Linked DNA regions of Rhinolophus ferrumequinum. The protein of the gene in region 1 purifies or fractionates together with the protein of each later gene. This does not show direct contact. Links are inferred from orthologs where the notes say so. Each region holds a gene or a part of one and is shown in the gene's direction. Other genes may lie near its edges.

Evidence for each region.
Region 2: the proteins of SOST (region 1) and LRP5 purify together in Homo sapiens (affinity purification with mass spectrometry; 3 studies listed by BioGRID and IntAct, counting the BioPlex papers as one, with this or other methods). This does not show direct contact. The link is inferred for Rhinolophus ferrumequinum from reciprocal best matches to the Homo sapiens genes SOST and LRP5.

What each region holds. Positions count from the first base shown.
Region 1 is NC_046304.1:38,981,669-38,991,716, reverse strand, and holds SOST (sclerostin), read left to right. Parts: upstream 1-4,356; 5' UTR 4,357-4,425; coding exon 4,426-4,645; intron 4,646-7,387; coding exon 7,388-7,809; 3' UTR 7,810-9,377; downstream 9,378-10,048. UniProt on the Homo sapiens protein: Negative regulator of bone growth that acts through inhibition of Wnt signaling and bone formation.
Region 2 is NC_046294.1:4,387,023-4,397,070, reverse strand, and holds the start of LRP5 (low-density lipoprotein receptor-related protein 5), read left to right. Parts: upstream 1-4,987; 5' UTR 4,988-5,102; coding exon 5,103-5,178; intron 5,179-10,048. UniProt on the Homo sapiens protein: Acts as a coreceptor with members of the frizzled family of seven-transmembrane spanning receptors to transduce signal by Wnt proteins.

The sequences.
Region 1 (10,048 bases):
CCCAGAGAACAGTTCTCAACTGTGAATAAAGACGGGGCGATTTGGACAGCCCTCAATGCAGGCAACTGCCTATAAACAGATTTCCCTCCAAATCCATATATTCCATTTTCGCCACTGACCTGTGGGACCAAAATCTGTTCAAAAATGCAGCCCTCAGTTTCCATGAATTAGAGACAGGTGGCTTGAATACTAAGTAGAGAGTGAAACTTAGATGGCCTTTGAGGTTCCTCTCACATCAAGGATTCTATGATCCTGTGCATTCAAAGGAGTGTAACTTACTTTCCAAATTTGGCGTGTCCTTGAAAGTCTGATGGAAATGCTACGTCTTTCTATGAGGATCCCAGATCCACCTTAGGGGGAAGGGAGTGTTCTCTCCTCTGAAGGCCCGTAACACTTTGTCCCTTAAAAAAAAAAAAAAAGCCTCTGAACCTTTTTTCAGTGGCACTAATCACTTTCTATGGAGTTATTTGGTTGAAGAATTTATTTCTTCCCTGTTACAGGAGCTCCTGGAGGGGGAGCGTGTCAGTTCATAGCACCCGGCAGGAGGTCTTGTTTCATTAAATGTTTAGCAAGTGGACGTATGAACAAGCAGTGTGGTAGAAGCAATACCCAGTAAATCATCATATAGAAAAAACAGCCTTACTAGGAATTTAGGTATGGTATTACAATATTAAATTCAATTTAAAAAATCTTAGCTCAAAACCCGTGTTGGCAGCCTGGTGGAGAAACATGCGGTTATGGTTTGATTTGTGTCCCTCCAAAATTCATATGTCAAATCCTAACACCTAGTACCTCAGAATGGGGCCTTATTTGAAGTAAGGTTATTATAGAGGGACCATGTTTCCCCGAAAAGAAGACCTAGCTGGACAATCAGCTCTAATGCATCTTTTGGAGCAAACATTAATGTAAGACCCCGTATATATTATATTATATTATATTATATTATATTATATTATATTATATTATATTATATTATATTATATTATATTATATTATATTATATTATATTATATTATATTATATTATATTATATTATGACCTGGGTCTTATATTAATTTTTGCTACAAAAGACCCATTAGAGCTGATTGTCCGGCTAGGTCTTATTTTTGGGGAAACAGGGTAATTACGGTAAGATCATTAGAGTCAGCCCCAGTATGACTGATGTCCTTATAAAAAGGGGGAATTAGGACATGGACATGCACACCGAGGGAACACTGTGTCAAGATGAAGGCATGGATCAGGGTGATGCTTCTTGACAGGCCAAGGAATGCCAAACATGGCCAGCAAACCACCAGAAGCTAGGGGAGAGGCATGGAACAGACTTCCTCACCGCTCTCAGAAGCAACCAACCATGCCAACACTCTGACCTCAGAGTCCCAGCTTCCAGAACTGTGAGACAATACATTTCTGTTGTTTAAGCCCCCAGTGTGTGATACTTTGTTCCAGCAGCCCCAGCAAACTAATGCCCACTTATATGTCACTGGTCAGATTGGGGACCTGGCTGGGATTTCTGGAGAACAACCCTGCAACATGTAGCAAACTGTTTACCCTTTTGGACTAGCATTCACTTCTGGAAAATACTTTAACATTTGAAAAAAAAATTACTTTGTGGAATACTACTGGGCAATAAAAAAGAATACATTGTGGATAGTACATGCAACAACTTGGATGAATTTCCAGGGAATCATGCTGAGTGACAAAAGTTAATCCTAAAAGGTTACATACTAGTTGATTCCTTTATATAACATTTCTGAAATGACAAAACTGTAGAAATGGAGAACAGATCAGTGGTACCGTGGGTTAGCGGTGAAAAGGGTTGGCATGGGCGGAGGGTGATTCTAGTTATAAAAAGGCAACAAGAGAATCTTTGTGGCCACAGAGTTGTTCTTTATCTTGGCTGTGATGGTGGCTACTTGACCCTGCACATGTGATAAAGTTTCATATAACTAAACATACTCACGTACAAGTAAAATGGGGGAAATCTGAATACGATTGATTGGTGGAGTGTATCAATGCCAATATCCTGATTAGGATGTTTCACTATAGTTTTGCAAGATGTTACCATTGAGAAACTGGGAAACGGTACATGGAATTGTCTCTGTATCATTCCTTACAAGTGCATGTAAATTTGCAATTATCTCAAAATAAAAAGTTTAATACAAAAAATTACTTTGTACAGGATGTTCATAGCATCCCTACTGAGGATAGGGGAACACTGAAAATAAACTACCCACAACAGAAGTCAGCTAAAACCCCGGGAGTTTAAGTGCGGGAGTATTGCTGAGCTCTGAACAGCGATAAACTTGTGGACTGAGTAAAGCTAAAGTTGAATTAGTGTTATGTGAAAAAGCAGATGGCATCATAGCAGGTTCTCTCTGAGCCATTCTGTGGAAAGTATGGCTATACGTTGGCAGAGAATAATTCAAAAAGATGTAGATAATTTAGAGATTCAAGTCCACTGGATTCTTCTTTTTCTCTCATTTTAACATTACTTCAGTTTCAAATAAGATAATGACATGAAATAAACAAAATCCTGAGTCTCTCCACTCCTAGTCCCTGGCTCCTCCTTCTGTTTCCAGCAGGTGGCAGAAGTGTTCCAAGGATGGTCCCCACGGTCTCTGTTTCCTTTGGATGGGCCAGCAGCTCTCAACAGCAGGAGGGGCTCGAGCATCAATCCCGCCAGCTCAAGGAATCCAGGCAGCAGAACTGTCTTCTCCGAAGCCCAGGGCAAGGAGGCAGTTGTCTGGCCTCAATAGGGTTAACAGTCCACATTCCAGAACAAGGGAAAAGGAGACTGGTGGGTCACAGACAGGCAGAGGGGGTTCTGGAGGGCCAGCTTCTCACAACACACAGCCTCTGTTGGGAGAGATAGATCACCCCCAACAATGGCCACAGCTGTTTTCGTCTGCCCTGAAGGAAACTGACTTAGGAAGCAGGTATCAGAGAGGGCCCTTCCTGCAGGGGCTTCTGTCTGGCTTGTAAAACTGTCAGAGCAGCTGCATTCATGTGTCGAGTGATGGATGATGGAAAGAAGGAGGGACAGATGGCCACAGATGGACACAGTGACTTACAAGTCCAGGCAGGTGGCAGAGGCCTGGCAGAGGCTCTGCAGGTGGGGCATGCTGATTCATTGCCCAGTGAAAATACCAAGGGGACCTGGGCCACAGCCCTCTTCCCAGCTCCTTCAGGGCCGGAGTGGCTGCACCTCCTCAATCTGTCTGCAATGAAAGCTTCCGCTGGCCCTCCTTTCTTTTCCTGCACCTCAGGTGTGAACCTTCCTGCCCCTGCACCTCTGCCCCTCCCAGGCCCCTCATTCTGCTCCAGGGCTGAAGTAGCAATTCCTTTTGGTTTCTTTGTGGCTGGCTGGACCTGGGGTGGCTTCGTGGAATCCTCCCCGTGGTATGCATCAATCAGATTTTCCATATAGGACTCAACGCTGGTTTTGAAAAATGAAATGGGCTGGGAGACAGAAAAAAAACACGTCAGCACTAAAAATGTTGGCCTTGGCTTTTGCTAAGAAAATGGATTTTGTGCTCTCTACTCCTACCCGCAGCCCGGCCAAAGAAATAACTGTCTTTAGCACATGCGCCTGCGAGCCACAGTGAGTGTCCTGGCCAAAAAGTGCCTGTCACCGTGTGCGGGATCCCTGAGGAGCTTGAAATGCAGTTTCCTCCTTGAGCTCCAGCACCAGTTCCCGTTGACTTGCTCATCCTGGCTACTTATAATGGGAATCCCCATCTCCTTGCCCAAGTGGGCACCCTTGCTGTGGCCCTCAGTTTTCCCTCTTGCCTTCCAGAGGATGCCAAGCAGGGCTTTTTTGATCAGAACAATCAATGCTGAGCCTCATGGACTTGGGACCAATGAGATTTCTTTAAAAGCATGCTTCTGCCTCTATTTGGGTCTGTGGGGGGCCAAATTGACACCCCCTAGGGCCATTTTTTCATGTGACAAATGAACTTGGCCTTAGAAATGGGATCAGTAGGGCTCAGCCCTATGGAGGATTCAGAGCTGCAGTTTTCTTTGTTAAGCTTGTCCAAAGTTTGTTTTGAGAAAGCCTGAGGGCCCCAGGAAGGTAGAGATTAAGAGCCGGGATTCATTTTGATATCTGAAAACCACAGCCGTCTGCTTGTGGGAGGCGCTGGAGAGCAGGCTTGCCTCACACACACACCCCTCTCTCTGGGTCACCTGGGAGCACCAGCAGCAATTTGGGAGTTTGCTGCCCTTGAGGAGAAGTCTTTGTAGCGGGTTTGTTCTGAGCACACCCCTTTCCCTCCCCCTGGGCTGAGGAAAGCATGGGACCAGCACTGCCCCAGCCTGTCATTGGCTGGCACTAGGCAGAGGGGGCTTTAAAAAGGCAAACGTGTCTGGGCTGGGGACTGGAGCTTGTGCTACTGGAAGGCCAAGTGCCCTCCTCCGGCTGGCACCATGCAGCCCTCTCTTGCCCTGTGTCTCGTCTGCCTGTTGGTGCACGCAGCCTTCCGTGCGGTGGAGGCCCAGGGATGGCAGGCCTTCAAGAATGATGCCACAGAAATCATCCCTGAGCTGGGCGAGTACCCTGAGGCCCCGCCAGAATTGGAGAACAACAAGACCATGAACCGGGCGGAGAACGGCGGAAGGCCTCCCCACCACCCCTTTGAGAACAAAGGTATGGGGTGGAGGAGAGCACTTTAAGCATAGGGGTCCTCTCATGGGAGGGTTCTCTTTGGGACGTGTTGAAGACTAGGGTAGACTGTTAGCCACTGCCAGCAACGGTGGAGGGACAGTCTTGTCTGGAAGCAGGAGAAGGATGACCTGCCAGCAGAGCCTGGGAATCTGAGTGCAGTGACTTGAGACTGGCAGGGGGCAGGATGGAGGCTGAGGTGGTGAGGGTACAGCATTGGGACAGGCTCCGAGGCTGGGAAAGCTTTCAAGGGATCCCTTCCTGAGACTACAGGAGCCTGGTCCAGCTGTCGGCACCACTGAGGAGGGAACAAGGCAAGGGAGCCTCGTATCTATGAGCACCTGCTGGAGGCCAGATGCTCTCTGTGAGCTGTACATGGGCTGTCCCCCAGGGACCCACCACGTGGAAGCCCCCTAAGGTGAACTCCCAATTTGAAGGTGAAGAAACTGAGGTTCCAGAAATGAAGTAATCTGGTAGTGAGTAGAAGAACTGAGATTTGAACCCCTTTTGATCCAATTCCAAGACAGCCCAGGTAGGGGATTATGGGTGGAGTGTTGGGGACCAAGAGCCAGAGCAAATCCCTCTAAAGCAGTGGGAAAGGGATGGCAGAAAAGCACTCCATCAATTCCCCCTGCCCATGGTCTGCCCGGTGAGCTGGCACTTGAAGGAATGAGAGTGTAGGCACAGTTTTAGCCTCTGGGTGGCAGCTGGACCTTGGAGGGGAGGCAGCATCCTCTGTGCAGGGAGTAGACACAGGTGGCACCATCTGTCCTGGGTCCCCACCTCATATTCGACCTTGCCTCATTTCTGGGGAGGGAGCCTGACCCTACTGAAAAGTCAATGGCCCCAGTGGAGGGTACACCTGGGTTCCTGATCAGGTGCCCACAGAGAAGCCTGTGGGGCAGTGTGCACAGCTGGCTCTGCAGCTGGCAGGAATGGCTGGGGGTGGAGGCTGGGATGACACTTCAGACTAAGGGCCTCAGTGCCCTCTGGCCATTGTCCAGAGGGGAGAGGAGCCCACTGCCCAGGCTCCTACATTCCATCCGTCCCTTCCTCCCAACTAGCTGGGAACATGGGGCTCTGCCAAGAGCAAAACCAGAGGAGCCTGGGGGTCCCTTGGGTCTTCCTACCTGGAGGGCGGGCGTGCCCTCCCCCTACTTCCCCCACCCCCAGAGAAGGTCAACTAAGCTCAATCCATGGGCTCTAGGGGACCCACCTATGAGATGTCCACATCCCTGAGCTCCCATGAGAGGCCACAAGCCCCAAGGAAGCCACTTGCTCAAAACAAAGTCACCCTCTGAAGAGGAAGTGCCTGACCTAGGGGCACTATTCTTGGAAAGCCCAAAAGCCTTCTTCCCTGGGCAAACAAGCCACCCCCACACACCACCCCTGCAGCCTGGGAGCAGGAGTGAGGATGCCAAACCAACCCAGAAACCAGAAGGCCAGCCACAGGAGGAAGGCAAGCTCCACATCTCCCCTGCTGTGTTTGCTCTCCAGTGTCTGGCTCTCTCTGCCCCCTCTCCGGTTTTGGTCTTAGGATTATTTTTCATCCCTTTGTGTCACATGGGTCCCATAAGACTCTTGGGGGTGGACAGATGCCCACACGAGGATCAGCTGTTTAAAAAGCTCCCGCTCATCTAAACCCATAGTAGAAGACACCATCAAGGTGACTTTAGGGGCCTAAGCCAGGTCTCAGAGCTCAGTCTTACCCCACCCAAGAAACAAGCCTGTGCCACCATCAAGTGTCTATTCAAATGGCACAGAGCAAGAGACGTGTCCAGCAGGGTGCCTGGTACACAGCAGGTGCTTAATAAATGTTTGTGGCAGTTGAGCCTGTAGGTTTTCCGGCAGAGCTTGGTCCCCTTCTGCTAGGGAAGTAACTATAGTAAAAAGCAGCCCTCCGCCCCGCCCTCCCCTCACTCCCCAGCCCAGCCTCCCATGGTTGCTTAGGCACACAGCTTCCACCTGTGTGGGAGCCAAGAGGTGCTGGGGCCCCAGGGAAGTAGAGTCAGGAGACCCAGCTCTGCCTTTTGGGCAAGTGCTTTTCCCTGTCTGTCCTCAGTGATAATGAGGGGGTTTGCCTTTGGCTCCTTTCAAGTCTAATGACTTGTCCTCCTCTCCACCTCTCTTCCATCCTTCTCCTTAGCAGCAGCTGCCCTGATTTATCACCTTCAATTAATCCCTACCCCTGTCTCCATCCCCTAACCGCCCCTCCCAAGTGGCCAGAAAAGGAATTTGGGAGAAGCCAGAGACATGCAGACGGTGTGGCTAGTACCTACCCTGCCATGGCCAGGGACCCTGTGGCACAGGTGTGACCGAAGTCTGGCGAAGAGGAACAATAATAATACATAGTAACAGCCAACACTTCCAGCTTTTACTATGTGCGGGTGGTGTCCCCTGCATTACATATGTGATGGATAAATGAACGGAATCCTCAAGACAACCCATTTTACAGATAGGTTGCAAAAATACCAAAAACCAAAAACCAAAAACCAAAAAAAAAAAAAAAAAAAAAAACCACCAAAACTTGGCTTCAAAGTTTTAGGAGGAGAGGGTGGGCTGGAGAGCTTCCCACCGGCTGGGCCCTTCCCGTAATAGATGCCCAGAGGCAAAAGAACCCTGTCTGGAGAAAGGCAGGTTTGGGGAAGGCGGGGTGAGGGGGATGGAGGGGTGTAAGGCCTAAGGCTTGGAGGGAGCCGCCGCCCTCACGCGCGCCTCTCTCCGCAGACGTGTCCGAGTACAGCTGCCGCGAGCTGCACTTCACCCGCTACGTGACGGACGGGCCATGTCGCAGCGCGAAGCCGGTCACGGAGCTGGTGTGCTCGGGCCAGTGCGGACCCGCGCGCCTGCTGCCCAACGCCATCGGCCGCGGCAAGTGGTGGCGCCCGAACGGGCCCGACTTCCGCTGCATCCCGGATCGCTACCGCGCGCAGCGGGTGCAGCTGCTGTGTCCCGGCGGCGCGTCCCCGCGCGCGCGCAAGGTGCGCCTCGTAGCCTCATGCAAGTGCAAGCGCCTCACCCGCTTCCACAACCAGTCCGAGCTCAAGGACTTCGGGCCCGAGGCTGCGCGGCCGCAGAAAGGCAGGAAGCCGAGGCCCCGCGCCCGGGGCGTTAAAGCGAACCAGGCCGAGCTGGAGAACGCCTATTAGAGCCACCTGCCCGCCGCGCCACCCCAGCCGGCGCCCCCCATCCGGGCGCCGCAGGTTTCTGCCCTCTGCGCGCGGTTTGATTGTTTGTATTTCATTTTAAATGCCTGCAACCCAGGGCAGGGAGCTGAGACCTGCCTGGCTTCGCAGAAGGTAGCCAGACCCTGCGGATCCCGGGTGCCAACAAAGCCCCACTCTCCCCGTCCGCCCGCCGAGAGGGTCCCGCAGGGCCGGGGAGGGAGAGTCACAGACACTGAGCCATGCGGCCCCGCCCACCGGGGCCGCCTACCTTTGCAGGTCCCACTTCAGAGGAGGCAGGAAAGGAAGCATTTCACCGCCCCGGGGTTTTAGGAAGCGGTGGGGAGTGAGAAAAGTCTGGGGACTGGTTAAGAAATTTCCATAAGATCCCTATCCACTTCTCTGCGTGTCGTAAAGCCTTTAGTGCCACGCTGTGCCAAGAACACAAGACGGGGGTCTGAGAATAGGGTTTCTAGTCCTGGTTCTGCCACTAATTTGCTGGTGAACTTGGACTACAGTCTTCTCTTTCTGGACTTCGATTTCCTCTTTGTAAAATGCAGGTGGGGGTGGGATTAGGATCTCCGGCAATCTTCTGTCATAAGATTCTAAGGGCTCTGGTGCTTGTTGAATGGGCAGGGAGAGAGGTTGGATTGAACCATGGTCATGTCCAGAATTCGGAGTTGTAATCCTGTGACCTGACAGCCAAAGATGAAAAACAAACAGGAAAAAAGAGTCTATTCGTGCCTGACAGACTCCCGAAAGACACGGAGTTGTTTCCCAGGCTGGCTTCCCTAGATGTTTGGCTACCTCCACCCTTCCATCTCAAAGGATGCAGAAGCAACATCATTAATTGGGGTAGAGAAGGAGAAGGTCCCAAGGGTGGTGGGAGGAAAAGAAATCACCCCCCTATTCCCAAAGAGCAGTGTCCCGCCCCCACCCCGTGGCCATATTTTAAAGTCACCTTCTGCAGAGAAGCTCAAGGTCCCAGGACACTGGGCTTGCAGGCCCAAGGGAGCAGCCACCACCCTTTCAAAGACCAGCAAGCAGATCCCTTCAGAGGCACCTCTTCGTAACTCATGGACACATTTCTGTCTAGAAAATTGCTTCTTACTATTGTTACGTGTGTGGTGGCATATCTTACATTAAAATGATATTATTGGGGAAAAATTACAAGTGCTGTACATATGCTGAGAAACTGCAAAGCCTAATAGCTGCCATCCAAAAATCTTTTTGAAAATCATTTCCAGACACCTCTTACTTTCTGTGTAGTTTATAATTGTTCAAAATTTTTTTGTTGTTGTTAAACAGAAGCACATGCCATGTGAAAGCCTGCTGGGCTGGTTGTTTTCTGCAATCCTTTCATGTGGGATTTGTCCACAAGAATGAAAGTCGTGGTTTTTAAAAAGAGTTAAGTTACATATTTATTTTCTCATTTAAGTTATTTATGCAAAAGTTTTTCTTGTAGAGAATGACAACGTTAATATTGCTTTATGAAATACCAGTCTGTTCTTTCAGAATCCAGAAGCATTGTTAATAAACACAATGAGTCGTTATGGAGAGGATGTGGTCTCATTTCTCAACCACACACAGTCATTTCTGTCAGTTAACATCCTTCTTTGGGTCACTATGACACCTTTGACTGCACGATGGTGGCCCTTGTGACAATTATGTCCTTTGAAAAGTCATGTTCGTCCCTTCCTCTCCAAACCTAGACCTCATTCCTTCACTCTGCTATTGTAATAAATCTCAGCCTGGTCTCCCTCAAGCAGCCTGCCCTTCGCACTGTTCCAAAAACACGGTTCTCATTGTGTCACACCCCTGCTCAAAATCCCTTAATAGTTCCTCCTTGCCCAGCATCAAGTTCAGTCTTCTCAGCCTGACAAATAAGGCTTTTGCCTGCTTAACTCCCATCCTCCACTTCCCCAAGCTTCCTTACTGACTCCAGGTGCCACATGCTGTACTGATCCCCACCTCCCTAGTTTGCTCCCCAGCCTCAAACAACTCTTGCTCTTTCTTTGGGGTTCATGTTCCTTGTCATCTCTTCCCTGACCCTCCCAGAAGTGTTCCAATCCCCACTGATCCCTCGCGCCTCAGATGTCCAGCCCCTTTTGTCCATGCCTCTATTTTGGTTCCTAAGTCTCTGATTCGACATTCATTCGTGGACCACCGGCCTCACCTGGCCACACCCTGCTGAGTAATGGGATAGACACAAAGCCAAGGATAA
Region 2 (10,048 bases), on another chromosome or scaffold:
TAAAGTGGAGGTCCCAAGGTCCTGTGCTGGGTCTCCTCTGTCACCGTCCTCCAACAGGAACTCGGAGGAGTCCAAAAAGTCCCACGTGGCACCACCTTCCTGGTGTTAGGAAGGCGTATTTGTCCCGCCAGGAGGTTAAAACACTCCTTATCTCACAGTCTGTGGCCAGTTTATAACTTTATTTTTTAGTGACCATCCATAATTTGATCACCTAGATTCAAAATTTGTTAAGGTTTTGCCATATTTGCCAAAAATATGTTGAAAGTGCATTGCAGACAATATGACGGTTCACCATTAAATAGTTTAGCTCTCCTAAGAGCACTCCGCTACATAATTAGAATAGTTTCTTCATATCTAAAAAATACAATTCTTAATATCATCAGAGTTATTTTTGAAGCATTTTTTAAAAAAAGATCAGTCAGGACATCTCTTTTGTCTCTTTTTATGTAGGAAAAGGCATTGTACTGAAGAGTGATTTTTTATTTTATTTTAATTTTTTTGTTGGGGAATATTGTTGAGGAACAGTGTGTGTCTCCAGGGCCCATCAGCTCCAAGTCGTTGTCCTTCAATCTCGTCATGGAGGGCGCATCTCAGCTCCAAGTCCACTTGCCATTTTCAGTCTTAGTTGCAGGGAGCACAGCCCACCATCCCATGCCATCCCACACGGAATTGAACCCGCAACCTTGTCGAGAGCTTGCACTCTAACCAACTGAGCCATCTGACCCCTCCAGAAGCTCAGCGGCAGCTGGTTGTCTTCAATCTAGTGGTGGAGGGCGCAGCTCACTGGCCCATGTGGGAATCGAACCGGCAACCTCGGCATTAGACACTGGCCAGCCCTCTCTCTGCCTTTCTGTATTAAGGCCCATTGTCATTGGATTTAGGGCCCACCCTGATAATCCAGGATGACCTCGTTTTAGGATCCTTACCTAAATTATACCTGCACAGACCCTCTGTCCAAACACATTAACAGTCACAGGTTCCCAGGATTAGGGTGCGGACATATCTGTTTGGGGGCTACTATTCAGCCCACTATAGGTGTCTTTAAAGAGCTAAAAAAGGGATATCAAACCTGAATATCAACTTCTTAATCTGTATTGAAAATAACCCTGCTGGGTGCACCAGACAGTCACGTGGCATTAATGCTCCCCCAGGATCGAGTCACATGACGAGCCACAGATCAGGAGGAGGGAAGCTCAGGGCTACAGAAACTAAGGGCTGGATGCCAACTATCGGAGAGAGAAGAGCAAGTGTGCGGGGTTGCCTAACCCACACTTGCTCTTGTGCCCTATCGTGGGCCCACACTAATCACAAGTCACGTGAATGCAGGGCTTCAAAGTATAAAGAACATTTTTATGAATCTTCTCTTGGATGAAGTTCACATCAGCACTAAGAGATAAACAGTTGAGCAGATATTCCCATTTTATGAATGAGGAAACTGAGGCTCAGAGGGGAAGTTTAGCCCGTGTCCCTCACACCCCAGCTGTCTCCACAGGAGCCGTGGCTCCACTGCCAATTAAGCCTTGCACTGCCCACCACCATGCGCTGGTGGCTGCCTCCCCTTGCCTGCTCCTGGAGCAGGTTGCTCGGAGGTGGTGCTGTTGCAGGGGGAGGCCCTCTGGGATCTGAGGGATGGGCTGGTCAGTGGACATTCCCTCTGCCCTCCTCCACCGAGCTGCCCTCAGGAAGATGCTCGTGGTTCAGAGAGCCGGGAATGCTGGGAGCCTAAGGCACACCTCTGTCCACAGCCGCCAGGCCTGCCGGGAGGGAGGGCTCTCGTGCCCAGAATAACTCTCCAGAGTCAGCATGTTCCCGCATGGGAGGGAAACCAAAAAGGCACTTTCCCCAAATGTCACGGGGCTGAGGTGGCATCTTTCGATGGGCCCTGAATGGACCCCAATTGAGCCCTTGTCCCCAGAAACTATTAGATCTGACAGGTGCTGAGCCCCTGTTACTTCCCTGGGATGAAACCTGCATCTGAGGAATAAATTGAGAGTGAACATTTCCAAACGCGAGACCTAAGGAAACTTTCGTGGCGTGATGAGCTGTGACAGGCAGCCTTCTGGGAAGCCTAACACGTTCTCCAGCTGCTTCTTACATTAGTGAAGAATGTAAAGATTACTGCCCTTGTGATGTAGGAATTCTGCAGAATAGTACCTCATTCTCATTTGTTCTTTACAAATGACTTTTCTCAAAGTTTGGATGGAGTCATTGCTGTGATGCCTGAAGACCTGGGGCACAGTACCTTTCCTGTGGGGGGGTCTCTACAATTGACACCCCAAGAGTTGGCACAGGAAACCCCAGGGCACCCCAGGAGCTGCTGCCAGCCTCCGCCATCCCCTGACTTAAATGCCCTCTTCTCTATTTATTGAAGTCTCCCATTCTGACAATCAAGCTTGCCACCTTCCTCCTCCAGAACAAAGAATCCCAATGTTTGTTTGTTTGTATTCTTGGATCATTTTACTTTCAATCATCTGCATAACTGAGCGTAAGGTCTTCAGCTCCTCAGTATCCCTTCTCAGATTTAGAAACTTGACTTGAACTTTAGACCTAGCGTAGTTCCTATGGCGAGCCACCTCGGGCCCCCTTCCCCTCTTCTCCACAGCCAGTGGCCTTAGTGAGCCCCATTTGCTTTTCCTAAAGCATCCCAAATCCAGGTCCTTCTCACCATTCCTGAGCTCCCCACCCCTTGCCAGTCCAAGCTGCCATCTCTCCTGGCGGCTACTATGGTACCCAGTCCCCTCATTCCCTCTTCCCTCCTGACAATCTTGTTCCCACTTGGCAGCCAGAGTGCTCCTTTTATAAATGTAAATCAGATGTTTTCACTTCATTCATTCAACAAACGTTTTGTAAGCACCTACTATGTGCCAGGCCCTGGTCTAGGTTCAGGGGATACACAGGGAACAAAACAAAGGACAGTCTCTGTTCTCATCGAGCTTCCATTCTTGGACGGAAGAAAGGTAAGTTTAAACACTTAGTCTGTCAGATGTCGCTCAGTGCAAAGGAGAAAAGTAAAGCGAAGAAATGCAGCAGGAAGAGGCAGCATGGGTGCGTGTTCCAGGGGGTGTGGTTTACAATTTTCAAAGGCGGGTCAGGGAAGGCCTGGCTGAGCAACCGAAGATGTGGGGAAATAAACTATGTGGCTAACTGGGGTAAAACAGTTCCAGCAGAGAGATCAGCAAGTGCAAAGGCCCTGAGGCAAGAGTGTGCTCGGTGTGTCTGAGGACCAGTGAGGAGGCCATTGTGTCTGGAGCAGGGTGAGGGAGAGGAAGGAGGGTGCAGAGGAGGTTGGAGAGATAATGGGAAGGGTGTGGCCAGATCAGGCCCAGTAGTTGCCATAAAGCCTTTGGCTGACATGGGAGCCAGAGAAGATTCTTGAGCAAAGAAGGGATGTGATCTGACTTGTTTAAACAGGCTCATTCTGGCTGTGAGATTAGGCTGAAGGGGGTCAAGGCAGAAGCAGAAGACCCATGGAGGTGAGAGGGGACCCCAACAAGGGTAGTGATAGCACAGGTATGAGAAGAGCCGGGAGTCTGCATCTGTTTTGAAAGTAGAGCCAACAGGATGTGCTTCTAGGGTTGGGCACAGGGTGTGAGAGAGCAATCAGCAAGGGTTTTGCTACTCAACACCCACGATGGCTCCCCACTGCTCTTGGGGTCCAGGTCTGATCTGCACTGGCTCCAGCTAGCTCCTCCTACTGCTTTGTCAGGCGTCTCTACCTCCCTACCTCAGACTTCCCCCAGACATTGCAGTACAATAATCTTCATTTTTCATGGCATTCCTCAGTCTGTTAATGGTATTTTGGTTTTTTTTTTTAATTTTAAATTTATCTGTCTTCTTGTTTTTGCTTGCCTCCCTAGAATATCAGCCCCACTCAGGACAGAGAGGTTCTGCCCGACCACTAGGTTTGTAAGGTTGTCACAAGTACGTGAAGAATATTCGCATCTGTGAGTATCAGTTTTTGGTGATTTACCGCTAGTTCTCTCGCACCTGCAAGGTAGGCACTGCTTCCCTATTTTATAAGGGAGGAAAGTGTGCCGGGAAGGTTATATTTAGACCTGCCCAAGGGCACACCTGATTCTAGGAAGCTGCAGAGCCAGAGTTGGGGCCCGTGGTTTCCAGAGCCGGGGCTGTGCTCCCTCTAAGTCCCTCCTGTGCCCTGAGGGTCCAGGCAAAGCTGGACGCTCAGGTGGCCCAGAGCTGGGAAGATGAGGAGCTCAGGGCCTGCTTGGCGGAGTCAGAGATGAGGTCTGCCATCCTAGAGGGGCTTTCTCGCTCAGTCCGCTTAGAAGGATGTTGAGAAGACCAGCGTGTCTTCGCTCAGAGTCTGTACCACAATGAATGTAGAGGGCGTCCGTTTAGTTTAAAAATAAAACCTTAGGCCCACCCCAATCCCAGCCCGTGTAGCTACTGCCTCACTCTCTCATCCGCTTACAAGTCTGTTCGCGCCCTGCGCCGATTCGCCGTCGTCCTCTGCCCTCCTGGGTGACCTCACCAGTGCGAACAGGTGTCGCCTGGCCGCCCGACCCGGTCCTGCCGTGGGGGCTGCGGTCGCGGGGAAGTGCACAGACCTGGCTCGGGGCCCCTGGCTTTCAGCCCCCAATCTGCTTCACTGTGTGTCCGGGGGCAATGTCCCCTCCCCGAAAAAAAACCCAACAACCCTGTGCCTCAGTTTCCCCCTCGGTAAAAACCAGGTACTTGCGGCCCTACAGGTGACACACCTGCTTCCGGGCCCCGGGCCCTGCGGGGTGAAAGCCCCGAGCCCGACCCTGCGCCGGGAGGAGCCCGGGCGGCCTTCCCCGCGGGAGGCGGGGGGCGCAGGGAGGGCCGTGGGGAGAGCGCGCAATGACCGCCTCGCCGCCGGCCGGCTCCGGGGGGCGCCCGCGGGAGGGCGCGGCCGGCGCGGGGGGCGCGGGCGGGCGGCAGCGGCGGGGGGCGGAGACGCGGCGCGGCTTCCGCTCCCGCGCCTCCTCCCTCCTCCCCCGTCGTCCTGGTCCGCGGCGCCCGAGGGGGAGGCGGCAGGCGCCGGAGCCGCGCGAGGAGCCGCCGCGCCGCGCCATGGAGCCCGAGTGAGCGCGGCGCGGGCCCGGCCGGCCCCGGATAACATGGAGGCGGCGCCGCCCCGGCCGGCGCCGCCGCTGCTGCTGCTCGCACTCTGCTGCAGCCTGGCCCCCGCCGCGGGTAGGTGGGCGCGGGCCGCAGGGACAATGGCCCGGACGCCCTGGCGGCCCGCGGCCAAGTGCGCGGCGCGCGGTAGCCACTTTACAAGTTGGGGGCGAGTTGGGGCGCGCGCCGCGGATCCCCGCTGCTCCCCGCCGTCCCCGCTGCCCGGGGGCCGCGCGCGGTCCCTTTGTCTCGCCCGCCAGGGCCCCTCCCGCGGACGCCGGGCCCGTCCGGAGCGTCCCGGGGCGGCGAGGAGGGTGCGCAGGCGGCGCCGACCCCGCCAGGTGCGGCGCGGCGCGGGCGGGTCCTCACCTGCCCGGGCCCCGGGGCGCGCTCGGAAGTGCGCCCGCGTGAAGCCAGCGGGCGAGGCCGTGCTGGGACCCTGGGCAGGCACCGAGCGGGGACTTTCGGCCCGGAGACAGGCCTGGCCGCCCTGCGTTGGGAACTCTTTGGCGAGCCTGTTTCCGATGGCCGCGCAGCCGGCCTGCGAGCTCCGAGAACTGATTTAAGTTGCAGAAAAAGTTCTGAGACAGGGCGCGGGGCGGCCTGGCCTGTTGCGCTGGCCTTTCATCTGCGTCGCAGTAGGTTTCCAAACGGACTGACACCTGCCAGGTGCCTGGACGATACGTCTGGCCGCTGGGGCCCCAAACAGTGACGCCCGGCCCGTGTCCACCCCAGGGGCCGACTGTGTGGGGCCACCGCGGGGGTGACCTGGTCCCAGAGCGTGGCGTGGTGGGGCAGCGTGCTGGTGCCTCAGTTGGGCACAGCCTTGGGGAGATGGAGGGCTGGGGACCTTTCTCTCCAACTTTTGGTGTGTCCCAAGGGGTGGAGTTGAGGTCGGGAGGGCTCAGGAAACCTAAGCGCCTGCGAAACGCTACACATGTTCTTTTAATTTGGAGATTGCCATGTGGTTTTTGAAGCAAGTCTCTCGCTACCTAAATCATTATCTTCTGACGTGAGTGTTGTTTTTCTGCAGTGTGGCTGGCCAAGTAGACACGGCCAGCAAGTCCTGTGCTCTTGGGGCTGCTGTTCTGCTGGTGGCCGTTTTTTGGGGGGGGCAGGGGGCCTCGGGTGCCTTTGTCTGAGCCTCTTCAAGACAAACAAGACAAACAGCTGTCTCTCTGGATATTTCCAGTGTGGACATTGCAGCGAGGTGTACTGGCCTGGCTCTGTGGTCACATTCCCAGGGCTGTGGCCCCTCCACTGAGGTTTGGGGGGGGGGGGTGTTGCAGAGAGGCCATGGTTTCCTCAAGTCCCCCTGCCTCCTAGCCCAAGCCTAGAGACTGTCAGTGGTTTCCCCCCAAATTTGTCTCTCTCAGGAACGTGTTTACGTTTCTCGGCCATGTCTGATACTAGCAAAACAAGGTGACGACAAAACAATGACAGTATCTGGGTAGTTCAGGCCAACGCTGCTCCTTTTCTTTCCGGAAATGCCTGGAACATGGAGGCAAAAGGGTTTTTTTTGGGAAGATGTTTGTTTTAAAGGTGGGGTTTCTTAGCCGGCTCTGTTGATCTGCACTTCCTTGCAGTTTGGGATTTCCTGTACCTTTCGGGGTGATGGTTCCTGGAGGCGAATGCCTGTCGTTGTGTGGTTCGAGCCCCTAAGAAGATGAATCGTGTGTGGCGTTCAGTTGTGTGTGAGGCAGAAATAGAGCTGATTATTTTAACATTAGGAAGCATGTCAGCACGAGGGTTTTAGTGCACCAGCTGATGGGGTGACCCAGGCCTAAAATGGATGGACAAGTCCTGGGGCTGTTCTTGATATGGTATGTCCCTGATTTCTGTGTTCGATTTATGCATCCGTCCGGAGTGCAGCCAGTAAGTTGGTAGCTCATTATTTTTCCTGATTGCTTCCTGTTGCAATTTGAAGCTGTGAGCCCACGGAAGTGCCTTTGTTCCTGGTCCCGGTACTGGGAATGGCCCAGGCCGCTCCCCTCTGTCCCCACAGCACTTGCTCCAGGCCCAGCCTGTCCAGGACTGGCCCACTGGGAGGGCCCAGCGGGTGGCTGTTGAGTAAACTAAATGCCGTGTGGAGTCCACTGAGAGAGCCCCCCCCCAAAGGACTCTGTGCTTTTCAAAGCAGGGCCCACATGCCTGTAACCTCCCGTTCGGATCCAAGAATTTCCCCAGTCAACCCAAACGATCCAGCATTTGCTGTGGAGATCCCGTCGTATTTGGAACCCGTCTAATTTCAGCAGCACTGTGTCACCGCTCAGGCATTTGCCAGAATTTGCACACTGGTTGGGCGGGGGTGTGTGTGGGGGTGCAGTCAGGTGAGGACGAAGCATGGCTGCCTGCCTATGGCAGGGGCTCGTCAGGGCTGAAGTGGGGGGGGGGGGCTTGGGGTCAGACCAACCTGGTTTACATACATGCTCAGCAGCTGGTTGACTTTGGACGACTTACTTAGCTTCTCTGCATCCAGTATCCTCACCTGGTTCCCCCCCAAGCCCAGGCAGTTGGGAGCATTAAATGCTGTGTGAGAAACCCTTGGCACCATCCCAGTCCCGGGTGAGGGACTGGTGGTGGCAGAGCTGCAGTTTCTGTTGTGTAACGGGGTCCTTGATCTTTCTGGTCTGGAAGGTCTAGAAGCTGTTATTACACAGTCTGGATTGTACTTCTCTGTGTGACCTTGGTTATCTCGTTTACTATCTGACTCATTTCTTGCTGTGACACAGAGACCGGTGCTGAACTGTGTGGACAGAGCCCAGGTGGCTGGGGGTCTAATCTGCGCCTTGCTGCCTACTCTGGGAGGGGAGCTTGGGCAGCTGACTCTCCCTTTGTGTGCCTCAGTTTTCTCTTCTGTAAAATGGGGCTAATAATATAATACTTCCTACCATGAGTTTAGTGAGTAACACGAGCCTGGCGCTGTACCAGCTCTTATTATGGTTGATGTTACTCTTTGGCGCCTGTGTGAGGTGCTGGGGATAGAATGACAGATGAGGCCCCCAGCCTTTGCTGCCAGCCATTCTGTGTAGAGAAAGAAGCTGACTAAACAGCTAGGGGAGAGGGGGGCCCAAGGGGTTCCCCCTCACAGTCCCAGAGCCCTGTCCTCAGGGACCAGGTGGTCTCCTCCGTTGAAAGAGGCCAGATCACGCTGCAGAGTCTGGATGTGAGCCAGAAGGCGATGGAAGCTTCTGGAAGACTTTGGTTGGGGGGATAGGAAACACATGCTAGATTCAGGTCTGTCCTAGGTGAAAGGTGTTGAACTAACCTTTTTTTTTTTTTTTTTTAATTGAGAAGACATACACATAACATAAAATTAACCATTTTCAAGTGTACGATTCAGTGGCGTTTAGTAGATTCACAATGTTGTACAACGACCATTTTTTATCAAGTTCCAAAACATTTTCATCACCCCCAAGTAAAGCTCCATTCCCATTACATAGTAGCTCCCATTGCCCCTGCTTACCAGTCGGCTTTCTGTCTGTTCTGGAATTTCATCTACATGGACTCCTACGCTATGTGACCTTTTCTCCTGGCCTTTTCACTTATTTAGTTTTACGGTTTTGAGGTGCATCCGCTTTGGAGCACGTGTCAGCACTCCATTCCTTTTCACGGCTGAACGATATTCCATCAGATGGATAAAGCACATTTGGCTTTTCCACTCCCCCATTGTTGGGTACTTCTCTCAGTGGGCACAGGCTGGGGGCTGTGATGTCCCCGTGGGGTTAGGACAGTGGAAGCTATTTTAGGCTGGGCAAGGACTTGGGCAGGTTAGCATTTAGCTGCTCCCGCCTTGGTTCAGAGACGTGAGAGCTGATGGGGAAGGGGGCAGAGGGGACAAGTTAAGGGCTGGTGCTGGCCTCTGGGGGAGCAGGGGTGCTGGGAGGTAGAGTCAGTGCCATGTTCAGTGTTACAGAAGCCCTGAGCGAAACTGGATATTTGTGGCTTATGAGGTCACTTAGCCCACTCTCAAAACTGGGAGGCTCTGTTGGGAGTGAGGGGCTGTGTCCGGCCCCTTCCCTTTGGGGGCCTGTTGACACATTTGCTCAGAAAGTGGTGGTGTGTGTGCTGGAGACAGGCCCCCTCTGCAGGGCCGTCCCAGGGACAGCACGGGTCCAAGTGCTGACATGCAGAGGCAGCTGCGGTTGCACAAAGAGCCGGCCCAGGGTCCCGCCCGCTGCGCCAGGCTGGTCTCTGCTTTCTCTTTAGCTCTGGAAAGCAGTTTGCTAGCTCTCAGCCTGTTTCGTCATCTGCAAAACTAGTTGGGGTTCAGGAGCCAGTGTCAGGAGGGACCCGGATGGAGGTTGTTCTTTGGACAGGCCATTGTGTGAAGGACATGAGAGGTTCTGTTCTAGGCCTCCAGGTTCCCTTTTAAAAGCGCCCCGAGGTTCCAAGTCCTACTACCCTCATTCAGTTGGAGGCCGGAAGGTGGTGTGAGATGTTGGGTGTCGGTGTCTGGTGCTCATTTGCCCGTGAAGGGTGGCTGGCAGCCCCGATCCAGGCCAGAGCCCCAGCCGGGAGCAGACCTGGCTGCTGGCCCTTCCCCGGTAAGTGGGGAACCTCTGTGCCTCTAAGCCACGTGGGGCATGTGCCAACCAGGGCGCACCCTTGCCCACATTAGTTCTGCCCAGTCTTGAGCCCCGAGCAGGCCGGTTATCTGTGTGGCTCTGGGGCCAGTCTTTGGTTTCTAATTTGTCCCAGTTTGCCTGTCACCCAGTAGGGGACAGTTAGCTCTCCACTGGCCTGCCCACTGGCTCACCCTGCCTGGTAGTATTCGCCTCGTGCTCTTGAGGTAGCAGCAGCCACCTGGCACTGGAACCTCGGGTTGTGATCAGTCTGCCCAGGTCACATGTCCTTTGTCTCTTGCTTTGGACCCCCTGGAGGTTGTCATGGTGGCGTCACCTGTGAGGAGGTGGGGAGATACTACTTCCTGAGTATTTTATTT